Alligator mississippiensis: one gene and its partner. The protein of the gene in region 2 purifies or fractionates together with the protein of the main gene of each other region. This does not show direct contact. Links are inferred from orthologs where the notes say so. Each region holds a gene or a part of one and is shown on either strand. Other genes may lie near its edges. The genes, in order: TPI1 and ENO1.

Evidence for each region.
Region 1: the proteins of ENO1 (region 2) and TPI1 fractionate together in Homo sapiens (co-fractionation; 4 studies listed by BioGRID, with this or other methods). This does not show direct contact. The link is inferred for Alligator mississippiensis from reciprocal best matches to the Homo sapiens genes ENO1 and TPI1.

Annotation. Positions count from the first base shown.
Region 1 is NC_081824.1:244,003,786-244,011,206, reverse strand, and holds the start of TPI1 (triosephosphate isomerase), read right to left. Parts: upstream 3,176-7,421; 5' UTR 3,116-3,175; coding exon 3,004-3,115; intron 641-3,003; coding exon 517-640; intron 404-516; coding exon 319-403; intron 155-318; coding exon 22-154; intron 1-21. UniProt on the Homo sapiens protein: Triosephosphate isomerase is an extremely efficient metabolic enzyme that catalyzes the interconversion between dihydroxyacetone phosphate (DHAP) and D-glyceraldehyde-3-phosphate (G3P) in glycolysis and gluconeogenesis.
Region 2 is NC_081836.1:10,361,229-10,368,972, reverse strand, and holds the start of ENO1 (enolase 1, (alpha)), read left to right. Parts: upstream 1-4,701; 5' UTR 4,702-4,740; intron 4,741-7,744. UniProt on the Homo sapiens protein: Glycolytic enzyme the catalyzes the conversion of 2-phosphoglycerate to phosphoenolpyruvate. In addition to glycolysis, involved in various processes such as growth control, hypoxia tolerance and allergic responses.

The DNA of each region.
Region 1 (7,421 bases), on a different chromosome or scaffold from region 2:
AAACAGCCAAAGCTTTCTTACCAGCAATAGCTTTGGTCTGTTCAAAAACCACTTTCTCTGTGATGCCAGCTTCTCTCTCATCCAGTTTCTCTCCAATGCAGGCAATCACACCAAGACCCTCAGCCAGGGCGTGAGCCACTTTCTGTCCAATCAGCTGGAAGGAGGACAGGAAAGGAAGAAAGCTTGAGCTATGGTCAGACTCACTCCCAGTGTTCACCTTCTAGGGCAGCTCTAGCCCCCTGCCCATGAAGATGTTAAAAGATAGTTTGTTTTCACCTCGCCCCAACCCTGCAAAAAAAAAAAAAAAAAATCACTCACCTCATCAGACTCTCCAAAAACATGCCTTCTCTCTGAGTGGCCAAGGATAACCCAGGTAGCTCCAACATCTTTAATCATGGCTGGGCTGAATGGGAAGAAAGGAGAAACATTAGTTTTGGGGTCCGTGTTGAAATGGGTACCTGTTGCAATAAGTTTCAGTTTCTGTTCCACCAGCTCCATCTGCGACTGCAGGCTCACCTAATCTCTCCTGTGAATGCTCCCTTTGGCACCTTGTAACAGTTCTGTGCTGCAACCCCGATCTTTGCATCTAGTTTCTGACGGGTGAAGTCAAGGTAGATGGAAGGGGCTCCACAAACCACCTCTGAAAGATAAAAGATGGAGTAAACCTCATGGGGAGCAGGCAGGGTGTCAGATCTGACCCACCCTCCAGTTGTAGAACTTCCCTTGCCCCCAGGTGCTCACCCCTACTCCAACCCATCTCTCAGCTCTGTTAAGCTGTAGCAACCCATCACAAGCCAGCTTTGTTGAATTTCAAGGACCCACTAGAGCAGGAGGGTTATTGCTGATGCAGTTTGATTTCCTTGCTCACAGAACTTAGGGGGAACACTGTCATAGGAAACCACTTCTCACATCTCTCAACAACAGGATGATGCAATGTTTCAGGTTTCCAAATCAGAGCAAAGGACCCCTGGGAACTGTCCAATTGAAAGTTGTTCTTTTCTTTCTGCAGATAGTTTAGATGAATTGAGAGTAAGGAGGGGAGCACTGACTTGCACAGGGGATTATAAGTGTAACTGGGAGCCAGGAAGGCCAAGATAAAGGGGGAACAGACACAGTGACAGGAAAAAGGTGGTCAGGAACCATTACCCAACACTGAGGGGACTGGGAATCTTAAGGAATCATTACTCCATGAAAGGGAGCAGAAGCCCCACTGTTCAGGTCCCTGAAGAGTAGAGCTACAAGTCCTGAACTACATGTATCCCAGTGAAGCTTCAATTATCCCTACAGCTACACAGTACAGCTTGTCCCACTACAGTAACTAAAGAGCTGTCCGGCTGATGCTTCTCGGACACTGAACTTGGGGAAACCACCACTGCAGCACTCTCTTGTAGACAGTGTGTTCACCTTCCCTGCACACGAGTGGAGGCCAGAAAAGGTGGAGACAGAAGGGATGCTGCTGCCAAGTGAAGGAAAACATAAAAATTAGATGCAAAACAGGGAGGGGCAGGGGGTTCTTCCACTGGGCAGGTCTGATCCTGTCCACTGAACACACAGGCTTCAATCACTACCAAGGCAAGCATGGAGCTTAGAGTCTGGGTGCAGGAGCCATGTTATAACACTGCCTATCTGCATACATATGGAGCTCTGCCATCTAGTCTGTGTACCAGGATGAGACAGGATGCCTACCCCAAACAGGGACGTTATAGTCCCAGCCAGCCACCCACTTTGAAGGCAGCAGCAAGGAAGCCTACAGTACTCAGCACTGCCCTCTCCAAAAAAGGAGGGGGTTGTGATAGTTTCAGGGAGAGTACCTGCAACTAATAGCCCCAGGGGCTGCCCCAGCTCCCCTCCCCTCTGGCCTTTAGAAGGGGGAGAGGGGGGAGGGAATCTGGTTTCCAACACCAAGTACAGTAGCCGATATTTTTAGCCCAGTCACCATTGGTTATATTTAGGCTTCCATCTCCTCACAGCCCTTTGACATTTCTTCAGGGTGCCTCCCGCAGAATAACAGCTCCCCCAGCCCCATCTAGCCCTTTCTGAGGAGGCAGGAGGCAGACATCCAAAGAGAAGGAAGATTCCATGAGTCCTGCTCTTCCCCTGCTGGCCTGGAGCCAAGATGTCCCAAGGACACCAAGAGGAGGAGCAGGAGCCCAGCTAAAGTTGTGAACACAGGATATCAAGCAACCCTCAGGGAGATGGGGGCAGAAGCCCTGTGTAAGGGAGCACAAAGCCTGGGCTGGGAGGGAGGACCAGGCCAGATATGTGCACAAAGCTGAAACAACATAACTAAGCCTGGTTTTAACTGTACTGGTTTAACTCAATTAGCATTGGAACCAAAGCAATGTCAAGTCCTAGAGCAGTGATCCCTGGCCAGGTTCCCACAGCACCCTGGGGTGCCTTGAAGTAGGTTCAGGGTGCCGTGCCATGCTCTAGAGCATGCCAATGTGACTCCCAATGATTTCAAGTAGGAAGCCGTGGTGCTAAACCGATTTTGCCCTGTGGGTTTTGGAGTCTTCTGCCACCAGACGTGCCCTGCTCCTCTTCCACTGGGAAACATGGAAGAGGCCAAGAGCTGGAATTTCCTCAGGCCTGCCTGCAGCCCAGCAAGGGCAGCCTGGAGTCTCAGAGGCTTGAGAGCTGCTGCCCTAAAGGGAAGGGAAGCGAGGCCAGCCCCAGCCCCAGCCCAGGAGAGCAGGGACCTGGGCGAGCCACGTGCCAACTTAGGAAGTCCTGTCCCGCAGAGAGCCAGGGCGAGGCAGAGGAGCGGGTAGCTCCAGCCCAACCCTACCTACCCCCGCCCAGCCGCCCCACGATGGGGCAGCGCCAGCCCGTGTGAGCCGGACGGGCGCCGCCACAGCATCCCCGGGGCCGGGAGGAAGCAGCAGCCGGCGGCGGCGTCACGTGGGCCGAGGCGAGCCAGGGCGTACGTGCGGCGCGGCACAGCGCGGAGACCCGCCCCGCGAGTGGCTGCAGGGCCGGGATGCCGCGCTGCGCGGCTCTCACCGGTCTCGGCGGGGATCTTGCCGCCGTTGAGGGTGTGGATGAGCTCGCCCAGGCTCTTCTTGTCGCCGTTCATCTTCCAGTTCCCCCCCACGAAGAACTTCCTGGGCGCCATAGCTGGAGCGGAGCAAGTAGGACGACGGCTCAGGACGAGGCAAGGTCAAAAGCTCCGCGCAGTCGCCACTGCCGCGCTTTTATAGGCCGGCTGGGCAGCCCCGCCCCGCGTTCCATACGCCCCGCCCCCGGGGCGTTTCCCAGGGGGAGAGAGCGGCCCCTGTCCGCGCTGGAAGACCCCGCGCATCCTGTTCCCTCCCGCTGCCCCGCGCTTCCTTGCTTTGGGGGACACGAGGTTCCTGCACCGCCCTTGTGCGTGTGCGCTCACCTGCCTCTGCCTGGGTCTCAGTGACGAATGATTGCCTGCCCCACCTCACAGGTTGTCATAGCCCAAGAAGCCCTGCTGGGCAATAGGCAGGCTACCAGGACATGGGGGAGAGGGTGCAGTTAGCCCACGAAGCACGGGGGGCTGAGGGGGCCCTTCAAAAGACACTTGTGGCACCCCTAGGTGCCCAGCACCCTGGTCGAGTATCACTAGGCAGTGCAAATCTGTGTTGTCTTCTGCTCACGTTATACACAGAGCTTTTTTTTTTTTTTGGGGGGGGGGGGCTGTGTTGGTTTTTTCAGCTACCTGATTTTACTGCCTAACTCCTGGAGACATTCAGGAGACCCAGGACTGCAGACCACCTGGGGTGGAGCACGCCTGCCTGCTGTGGAAGCTGGAAGCAGCAAGGGGGTGGTCAGGGGCTGGAACAAGGAGTCTCTCCAGAAGTGGAGGGACCCAAGGCAGTGGGGCAGGGTGCTTCTTCAGCAGGGCGGCCAGGAGGCATAGGGGAGCTTTCACTAGGAGGCTTGTCAGGTGCATGGAACCTTACCTGTGTCCAGCAGTGGCCATGGTCTACGTCAAGGGCTTCAAACATGCAGCACGTGGGCCAGATCTAGCTTAGAGCATCTCTATCCAGCCTGGTGGGCAACAGGCAGGCTACCAGAAGTTGGGGGCATGTAGCCTGCTAGAGAACGCAGAGCCCTCTAGCTGTGCTGGCCCATAGCCCTCAACAGCAAGGTTAGTGCACCACATTTGCCTCTGGACACACCTACAACTCCAGACATCTGCCAGCTCCTCAACAATTTGGTGAGGCAGGTACACATGGGTCTGAGGCTGCTCCTGGACCCTGGCCCTGGGCCCCCTCTGCATGATTGCTGTTGAAGTAGTTGAGGTCAGCAATGTGGCCAGAGCTGAAGCATCCTGGGGGCTGGGTAGCCAACACTACCAACAGGATGCAGGAGCATGTCCTTGGCCTCTCTCTGGCCTCAACACAGTCCTCCATTAAGAGTCCCCCTCAACCCCCAGCCTAGTACTGCTCCAGGATCCCAGGGCCCCTTATCTATGGTCCAGGTTTCAATTGGCTGCAAAGTAATGCAGCAGAAGCAGTAGCACTTGCCAATGCAGCTGAATCCTGCTAGTTGTACTTTTTGCATAATTACATTTATTTTTCTATTTGGTCTTGGAAAACCACTAGATGCCCAGAGGAACAGGACAGATTTGCTCCGGGGTATAAATGGCCACTGTGCATTTCCAGAGATGACTAGGATCTCTGTGGAGGAGCATGCTTAGTGGCTGTGGGTACAAGTTACCTGGCTGATGTGTACTGCAGTAGTAAACAGCCAAGTAAGTGCCATTCAATTCTGAAAAAAGTGAATTAGTGCTGCACTTAAGACAGATACCAGAAAAACAGCCTGTAAGTGGCACTTAAGCACCCACATCATGAAATACGATTCTGCCCAAAGCCTCTTCACTGGCCCCCGACTCCTGTTTTAAAAACCACCCTCTGATCAGCCAACAAGTCTAATAGAAGTCAGCCTTTAACTGTGCTTGGCAGTTCCAGATGTAGCAGAGAAAGTGGGGCTTGTGCCAGACTCCACAGTGAAACTTTAGAGGACCTATTATGGAATGAGTGGCCTACACAGGGTGACCTGTCTCTTCCTTTTCATCAGTAGTATCAAAATGCCTTTGTTAAAAAAAACTTTGTGTCCCCTACTCAAAGCTTGATTACAAACCAATGGCCAGCTCCTTTGCAAACAAACTTGATAAATGGATATAATACAATTAACTAATTGCCCATCAAGAATGACCGGGAATGAGGGAAGCATGCCGCCCCCCCTGTCCAAGCCTCCGGGCCTGTTTCCACCCTACTTCCCCTTCAGGTCCAGGCCCATCTCCCCCCCACCCCCCTGGCCTATGTCCACCTGCCTCCCCTAAAAGGTTCCGAAAAATGTATAGATGATATTGTTATATCCTCCAGGCCCATCTTCTCATCTTATACCCCATGTCAATCCACTCACCTTTCTTTAGAGCAAACAGGTAGTTGCTGTCACACTAGACATCACTTACTGTATTGTTCTGTCATTCACAGGTTTCTACTAGGGCCTGATGCTTTCACCCCCTCCTCCAAACCCTGACCATTCAGTTACAAACAGACATCACCCTTGTCCCAAGAGAAAATATTCCCCCCCCCGACAAAATGTGAGCATTCAGATGTCACAGGACAAAGCCCCCAAAAGGTTCTTAGGATAAGAGGTGCTGACAGTTTGTCCTGTGCTATCACAAAGGATGTCTGAATGGTTGTCCTGTGACAGCAGTGGGATCTGCTACTGCTGATGTAGTTTAGAGACTACCATGCACCTATACCACACATGACCAGGCCTGAGGTGCCTGTTTCTGCTACTCAAGCATATCCTCTACCAGCCTGGATCGCCTAACAGGCTGTTACATTCCCCGCTTTCCCCCTGCCATCTGGATTCTCTAGGCTGGGGTGGCCAACCTGTGTCAAGCATGTCACAAGCAGCACAGAGGGTTCTTGTGGTGCACAGCAGATAACAGACTGGGCAGGGAGCAGAGGACATCCAATCAGACCACAGAATAGCAACCAAAAGCAGCAGATTGGGTATGGGAAGGGGATGGGAGTGGCACTTGGGGAGGGTGTGGAGCTCATCTTGTGCCATCCCTGCCAAAAAGGTTGGCTCCAGGAACACTGGACTTTCCTCAGCCAGAGGCTTCACAACCTCTGTGGACATAATGATTCCCACTAGTTTTTAAAAGCCATGACCTGGGCCTGTCTTACTCTTAACATACTACAAAGCCCCAGAGATGTTTTCATCAGTAGGCATACACACTTGGGAGTTGCTTGGTTTTTTTCCCCCAAGGTTGTCATCATCACTGTAACATCATCTACAAAAGCAACTGCTTTAGGAAAAATGGACTCAGGGTGCAGGTCACAGAACATGCTCTCTGCCTCGATGCCCTCCCTGTCATATGGCAAAAAAGTACAATACCAGGCTAAGATACACGCCTGTCTCACCTTTGGTCACAAAAGAATTGGGTTTGTGCCATCAATCTGTAATTCAGTAGCTTACTTGTGTCAGCACAAAGTTTGAAGAGAAAGTGGCATCTTGTATTTCTTTTATACCCCTTACAAACAGCCATGAGCCACTCCATCAAAAGGGCTTACCTCTGGCCTAATAAACAAATACATCCTTTCCTTTGGCCTCTTGCTCTGCTTTAAACACCCATCTCAAAGCTCAGAGCTGACAGTTTCAGCAGCATCTTCCTTTAACCATGCTTTACCAAGCCAAGTGCATCAAGGAACAATGCACCTCCTCCCCCCCCAATAGTGTCTGCAGCAACACCTATGAAAATGATCTTAACATCTGTTTGTTAGTGAAAATATCTATCCCCCTTTTGTAAACAGAATCAACATTCCTGTTGTATCATTTCTACATCTTTCTGTGAATCTTTGACTCTTGTGCTTTTACACAAGCTAGAGAACTATTCCTGCACTGCACTTGGCATACTTATAAGGTCTGTTTTAAAGACCCCCCCTCCCCAAACAATGGTCAGATACACCTGTGGGCTCTGTTGTGTCCTGCATGAGTCCCTTTCTTTATACCAGTGATTCTCAAACCAGGGTGCCATGGCACCCAGAGGTGCCCCAAGATCCTTTCAAGGGTGCCATAAGATGCTGTATAATATTAGCACTGTTTGGTGTGCAAACATGTTCACAAGATAAATTCAGAGATTTCAAATCGGAATCCATAGTGTTAAAAACATTCTGGCCTGCTATAGTGTTTCTGAGTTCTTTGCAACAGAATTGCTCTGGTATTTTTCTGTAGTCAAAAAAAGTGTGTTAAAGAGCTGGCATTTTCTGAGGGGGGCCTCAAATGTAATATAACAGGTGCATAGACTCTAAAAATGTTGAAAACCACTGTCTTTCATAAAGCTTCTGTAGCCTAGATTTATGCCCCAATCTAAAAAGAGCAATGACTTGTGGCAGAGGAAAAAGAGTATGTTATCTCAATCCCAAGGCTAT
Region 2 (7,744 bases):
CCCTAGAAATAGAAGAACTTAATGGGGCCAGAATTCTTCATGGTATTTCAAGCCCAAGGGAGCATCAATCCCTATACCGAGCTGCATGTTTCACATAGCAACATAGGAAGTCCTGATCCCAACAGGTGTGGTAATATAGCAAAGTGGGAGCAGAGAGGGTGAGAACAAAGGACTTCCTTTGTCCTTCCCTAGATTGCTGTGATCCCGGCAGTGTGACATTATCCACTTGTCTCATTTTAGCCTTGTGAAGGGATCTCTCTAATCAAATCATCTTCTCATCCTGTCCATAGCAGTTATGCTGGGCCTTAGCATAGCTTTGTCCTGTGTCCCCTGCATTTTAGCTACAGGTATGTGACCCGGCTGACCTGATCAGAACATTAAATGTCCTTTCACAGCATCTGATGAAGTGAGTTTCAGCCCACAAAAGCATGTGCTCTCCATACACACTTTAGGTAGTGTATCACAGGGGTGGGCAAAATGTGGCCCGCGGGCCGGATGTGGCCCGCCAGACCATTGTATCCAGCCCATGGGGCCCCTACAAAATTTAGAAAATCAATATTTATCTGCCCCGGCTGCTTGTCATGCGGCCCTCGATGGCTTGCCAAAACTCAGCAAGCGGCCCTCCACCCAAAAAAATTGCCCGCCCCAGTCTATAAGGTGCAAAGCTACTCTGCCTTATATTTGACTTCAGACCAGCAGAGCTATCTATGTCTCTCTAATCAGAACAGCCAGTCCAACAAGTACCCTTGGAAGCAAAGTAGTTGGAAGAGACTGGCAGCTGGTAGCAGGAAGAGACTCTATCTTTGCTTATGGATCAGGGTATGTCACAACTTCCGCAGCTCACACTGGCTCTGGCCATAGACTTTTTGGCATGTCAAGCAGAAGCTTTGAGTCCAGTAAGGCTTTACTCAGCTGTGGGCTGGGAACAGCTGATAGTGCAAGATGATCAAGTGAATCCTAGGGGGGAAAGTATTTCTCAGCGGCTTTGTCAATGGGGAGTGACTCGCACAAAACATCACATTCTTATTATACACCATGACAAGGGATCCCCACTGACTCCATAAAAAGCAAGCTATTAATTTCCAGAGCTGGGACTCTGCGCATTTTGTGCACAGTTCAACATCACATGCCTTTCAAGTGTTATCCCAGTAACAAGAAAGAGTAAGTACAGCTGAGTGAATCAGTATCATTGAAAAGTTATCTGATTATTGTGCTTGTCACAAAATGTCCTTGAATGGAGCACAGTTTCTTTGGAAGTATTTATCACATTATTTTGACAAACAGTTTTGATTCCATGGCATGTGATACTAAACTGTCCTGGGAGATCACTTGGCCCTTGAAATATGCTCCTTCAGAATTGCTGCCAAGTTGCAATTGGTTAGATAAATCAGGTGGTATTTTATAGGTGTCCTCTGTCTGTTTGATGCATGAGCCCACCATGAGTGCACATTTAAAATTAATTTATTATGAACACACACACACGATTTGGCTTCCAAATCAGCCTTCCACAAGCATTTGTTGCTTTTGGCTGTTGACGGATAGTGAACCCAAAAGAGATGCAAGTGCTGTTGATATTGATTTGTTCCAAAATCCAAATGCATTTCACAGAACTTGTTGAAGAATGTCTCAGGGATGTATGTGGTAGCCATGTTGGTCTGAGACAAAAAGAAATGCAAAGCTCTAAAACTCTTGGTTCAGAGATGATACCTTTTAACTAAGAAATTGCAAAAATATTATCTTTCTTTGTAAGCTTTCGGGCACATGTACCCTTCTTAATTTCTCCTTAGCCTAAAGAAGGTGCATGTACCCGAAAACTTCCAAAGAAAGATATTTTTTTTGCAATTTCTTAGTTGATCTAATAAAAGCTATAAGCTCTGAACTCCAAAGTTCAGGGTTTTGCATTTCGTTGTGAAGAATGTCTTGCATTCAGAAGCTTGTCTAACTATCCCAACTACAGTTGTTCCAATAAAAGATATCAACCTATGAAATTCTCACCTCTCAGAATTTATCATGGTTCATCAGACAAGGTTCTTTGGGTGAATCTGATATCTTTTATTAGGCCAACTTAAATAGTTGGGGGGGGAAAACATTTAAATAAGCTTTTGGGTTTAAAAACCCTTCATCAGGCTGAGGAAGTTTCAGCAGTTGGTGTGTGCTCTTCCTGGATGGCATGAAAAGTAAAGAAGCCAGAGGCTGGTCTGGTCTGCATGCAAGACAGACAGTCAGTGAAGATGTAAATTGAGGAGTCAGTGGGAGAGAGAGAGGCTGGGTTGGGGGGAGAGACCATGCTTCAATATTTGTTCCTCATCCATTTTTGTGTCTTTATTTCATAGAGAAGTAAGGCTGAAACAATGTACCAAAGTATTTTCTTTTGTCTCTTAGGGACAGTATGTGTACAGGCAACCCTCAACTTACAACGTTTCGAGTTACAACGTTTCGCACTTACAACTTTTAGAAATTGACACCCTGTTTCAACTTTCTGACCTCAGTTTCAACTTTACAATGCTTGATCCGATGCGACGCCATGCCAGTGAACAAGTTCAAGACTTCAGGAAAACCTTCAGCCAAGACTCCTGAGAACACTCCAGCTAAGAGCCCTTCAAAAAGTCCAGCAAAGTCACCTCAAAGAAGTCCTTCCGAATCAATATGATTACTATTTACAGTCTAAATACATTAATCTAGCTATATTATGCATCTATAATTGATTGAGTACAAAATTCTCGGTTATTTTTGGTGAAAATAGGGTATTGGGCCTTGGTTCAGGAACCAATCCCCCATTTATAACATTGCATCCTATGGAAAAATCGGTTTCAAGTTACAATGTTTCGACTTAAGACAGGGTTTTCAGGAACCAATTGTGTTGTAAGTCCAAGGACTGCCAGCAGTCCGTTTTAAGCATTACTATCAGCCCCATCTTGAAAACACACAGCGAGTACCAATAAGTATTTCAAATACCTATCCATTGCAAAATATATATTTTTAACTGGCTGCTCTTGTTCTCACTTACAGGACACAGGCCTCCTAATCCAAAGCAGACTGAAATGAAAAACTTCCCTTGGCCTAAATCCAGCATTTTTTACACATCCCAAATCCCCATTGCTAACAATGCAATGGTCTCTTATCTTCAAATACTTAGGCACGAGCAGTTTTGCAGAGCACGTGCTCCCCATTTGCTAACAAAGAACAGCTCCCCCCTTGTCTTCAGAGTGACCATTTGGAGAATGGAAACATAAACTGTTCAGGGCCATTTTCTTCAAAGACCTTTTCAATTACTTGGCAGTTTTTGTGTTGCCGAAAGAAGATGCTTGTATCTGATTTGTGTTTCTGTGATGCTGCATATTAAAGGGTTGGGTTGGCACATGAAAGGATGCTACATTCACTGAAGTTCTGGTGCATTCTCTGTGCAATATGAAAAAAACCTGCTTTTCAAAGCTCTCGTTATGAGCCAATGCAGCATGTCATCTCTAGACAGGCAGTTTAGTACACTCCTGAGGTGGGGAGGAGGGATTGAAACCTGGCAGCCACAGTGAAATTCCCCTTGCCCATCCCCCTCGCAGCCGCATTCCACCCACCAAAACCTTATGAAGGGCTAAATGGCACTGCACGTGTTAGCTGCACAGATCAGTGCCTTATCTTTTGACCCTAAGGCCTGCATTTCATAAGGGGATAATAGAAGTGCAAAAATTCTTGCCGGCGCCGTGACAAGCTAAACTCACTGAATCCTCGCCGCTTAGCACCTAGCTACATGTCTCCAGCACCCCCCTGCCTTTCTTCTCCACAACTGCTTGCCTACGCTTTGTCCTAGCCTCTTCCTTCATCTTTCCTGCAGCCAAAAAAGAGAAGGGAATGGGACTTGTTGCAATTTCCTGATTTCGTCCATGATAGTGTGGACCAAACTGTTGCTTTTCCAGTTTCCTGAGCAAAATGAAAACCCCGAACGACTTCATTTGGGCTTTTCTTCCATCTGAACCAAAGTGTCAGCTTTTGATTTCAGGGTCCTCACCCCAGTTTTTACTACGAGTAACTTTAGGTAAATTTTCTGAATGAAAATCATTCCAAAAGGCAAAATCCAAACAGAGAAACCTTTCCAATTTATTATTATTTGATTGTTATGAATTTCTGCCCGATGCTGGGCTGCATTTGGGGGATAGTTGCAAATCCATCTGGAGGCCCGAAAGGACCTTCCCCAGCAACTTCGTAGTCCCAGAAAGCCAGGCCTGGCTCCAGTCCCGCGGTGGGCTGCCCTGGGGGCTGCTCCTCCGCTTTACCCGGGGCATAACCCTGCTGGCAGCACCCGGCCGCCAACCAGAGGCACCCAAAAGCACCTCTTTTAAAAAGGGGGTTCGGATTTGCAGGCATAGGGCACCCCCGCTCTTTGGGGCGCTGCTAAACCTGAGGGGGCTTTGCTGTGTGCATAGATGTGTGTGTAGGGGTGTGCATGTTTGGGGGGACACAGGGGTTAACCCTTGGCGGCGCGGCCCGCACGCGGCGCGGGGTTTTTCCACGGCGCCTGCACGTCCCGCACGAGCGCAGGGGCGGGGCGGCGCCAGGCCCCGCTGGGCCAATGGGAGGCGGCCGCCGGAGCCGGACGGACCAATGGCGTGGCGGGCCGGGCGGCGCATCTGCATGGGGCGGGTATAGGCGCGCGGGCGGCCGCTCGGCCCACTCTCTGCGAGCTGCCGGCGGAGACGGTCGTGTCGGGTCGTGTCTGGGCGCTGCCACTGCTGCTGCTGGGTCCCGGTGCGTGCGGGCGGGCGGGCGGGCGGGCGGGCCGTGGGGTTGCAGGGAGCGGGGGGCGCTGCGTCTCTCCCCCGCCGCGCCCCGGGCAGCGGGCCGGGCCGGGCCGGGCCGGGCGGGAGCAGGACCAGGACCAGGGCTGTGCGCTGGGCAGGCGGCTTCCCTGCTCCCATCGTCGTCAGCCCCTTCCTCGGCCCTCCTCCTGCTTCCTAGTCCCCATCCTTCCGCTTCTTCCAGTACTTCTTCACCTTCTTCCTCTTCCCTCCTTCCATTTCCTAGTCCCATCCACCCGCCCCCCACCCCTGCATCTGCATCCTCCTCCTATTTCCCCCCTCTGCATCTTCCTCCTCCTCCTTGTTCCTCCTATTTCCCCCCTCTGCATCTTCCTCCTCCTCCTTGTTCCTCCTATTTCCCCCCTCTGCATCTTCCTCCTCCTCCTTGTTCCTCCTATTTCCCCCCTCTGCATCTTCCTCCTCCTCCTTGTTCCTCCTATTTCCCCCCTCTGCACTTTCTACTTCTTTTCCCTCTCTCCATTTCCTTATCCTCCCCCGTGCCCTGAATCCCTCCCTCCGTCCTGGGTTTCACTCCCCTGCCCGTGCAGGCACTGTTGGGTGCAGAGCCAGGGCAAGGGCCTGGTGTTGAAACCGGAGAGCAGAGCAGCCCTAGCAACCCCATTCTGGGCTGCTCCCCTGCCTCGCATACCAGCTCCTCATCTAATCTGGGCAGAGCTAGGGAGTGATTTGCAAGGCCTGCAGGCCCCTGGGTCATGCTGATATCGGCCAGGCCAGGCACGCTGTAGCAGTCAAGCACGTGCTCTTTGCAGTGGGAACTAGACCTCTAGAAACGGCCTCTTATGACTCAGCCGCAGTAATATATGCAGGTTACCTAAGTCCTCCTTTTCCTATGACGTTAGTAGTGCTGAGTAGGAGTGCACCTCCCTGTAGTGAGAACTGAGTCATGCTGTATCGATGGAAGGGAGCAGCTTTCAGGGTGCGTATTTGTGTGCTGTTCTGCAGCCTGCTTCCTCAAAGACTAGATAAAATGCCCCTCTTAATGATTAACGGCCCAAGTGACAGTTTGTCTTGGATACTGCTCAGTCCCCTGGACCTTCTCCTCTCTTGCGACAGTAGCTGCCCTTCAGCCCTGGTTCTCAAATATTGAGTGTATTGCTCGACCAATGTTCTCTGCTAGCGGCTGTCACTGAAATCTGACCATGAAAATAATGAAATGTCCCATTGCTTTTGGAACAGGGTGGGAGGTAATGGCTGTAACCTGATGGGACTCTCCACTGTCTTGATGCACTAGTGAAAAAATGGTGCAAAGTCTCCTTTTGACTGGCATTGGGTTGGTGCAGGTGGTCAGGAGAGGAATTTTAGTCATCCAGACTTTCCGTTAATGGCTACGCTGAGTCACAGGGCAGGGATGCAGGCTTTGAGCTGTGCAGGAAGGAAGCCCTTGTTTCGCTTCCAAAACCACAAATGGAGGCAATGCAGTCCCTGGCCTCCACTTGATTAAAAACATGGACTCCGAACAGTTGGGCATTTCCTGACTTCTGCATTCCCTGCCACACTGGGTGCCAAGCACGGTCCTAAGGGCTGTTGCATGGAAGGCATACAAATGAATGAGCCACGTGCTGTATGTCGAGAGGTGGGATCTGAAGGAGTCCTTGCTAAGGTCATACTCTGACTGCATCTTATCTTGTGGAAGCGATGTGTCAGGACCTCGCCCTGCTGCATTTGCTCATTACCTGGTGTAGGTGAGGTTGCAGACCTCCAGGAAATCCTGTTCAGCACCAAGTGGAAGTTCAAGCAAACTGCTGGTGGCTGTATAACAAAACCTGGGCCCTGCAGAGAGGCAGGACTCTGCCATGGACGTGCCCTTGCGCTTTGGACTGTTTCATCGTCCTCAGCAGCCTGTCATATTGAGCAGCAACGAGTGGCTGTGTCCATCTTAGACCATATTTCCTTACCAGAACAGGGGCGTTTGCATAATGACTTGGCAAGTGTGAGTTAGCCACAGAATCCTTCCCTTTTTTGGCAGTGAAGATGTGGCCTAAAAGTCTCTTCAATCTGTTTAATCCTGAGGTTGAAATTGGCTTAATTTCCCATGCCAGCTGCTTGTGTGATGTACTGTCCCCATACACCAGAATTTGGATGGGACATAAGACATCTGAGAGGCTTGATGCGACAGAATTCGGGATGCTGCAAGTCCCAGCCTAGCGTGTGTTCCCTGCCTGCCTTTTCCTGTCTTCCTAATAGGAGAATTGACCCTGCTCATAGATCAGGAGCAACTTAGTTGCTCAATGTTTCCCTCTTTTTTTGTAACTACCAAGATACAAAGCTGCAGCTGTGCAGACTTTATATTCATGGCTCCATCTCCAAGCACTGAATAGACTCCAGGAACATTTCTGCTTTCCAAATCCTTTTGTAGATGTTGGCTTCTAGAGTCTTTTCTCCCTGGCATGCAACCAGCAACATGAAGTCAGGCAGGCAGGAGCATAGCTGGGTTGAGGTGGCTCTTGTTCTCCTTTCCCCTTCGTGGCTGAGGTCGAGTGAATCGGAGCAGGAGGCACCTGAGCCATGTCGGGTCAGACTATCTGGCAGACGGCTCTGTGCAGTTGTGTAACGCTGCAGCGCTGGAAACTGCATGGCTGCTAAGGAAGGGGAGGGGCTTTGGGGAGGGCATTTTGTCAAGGACGTTGGAGCAATGTGCCTCCTTGTCCGGGACCTTATGAGATGGCCACAGTGAGGAATGCTTAGGAGAAATAGTCTCCTGCTTGTACAAGGGAGAAGTTCACTGCTCCATTTCCTTGTGAACTGACATCTCTCTTGGAAGGTGGGACATCATTTCTTTGATTGCACTGCAGCCCTGAAAATGAAAGCAAGATGCAGCCCATAGGAGAGCCTAATGAGCTCTGCTGTTTAAAAGCAGCCTCAGTTGGATTATAGGGATTTGGGCACAGGGAAAGGAAACGCTACATCATATCAGCAATCAAACATCATGGGAG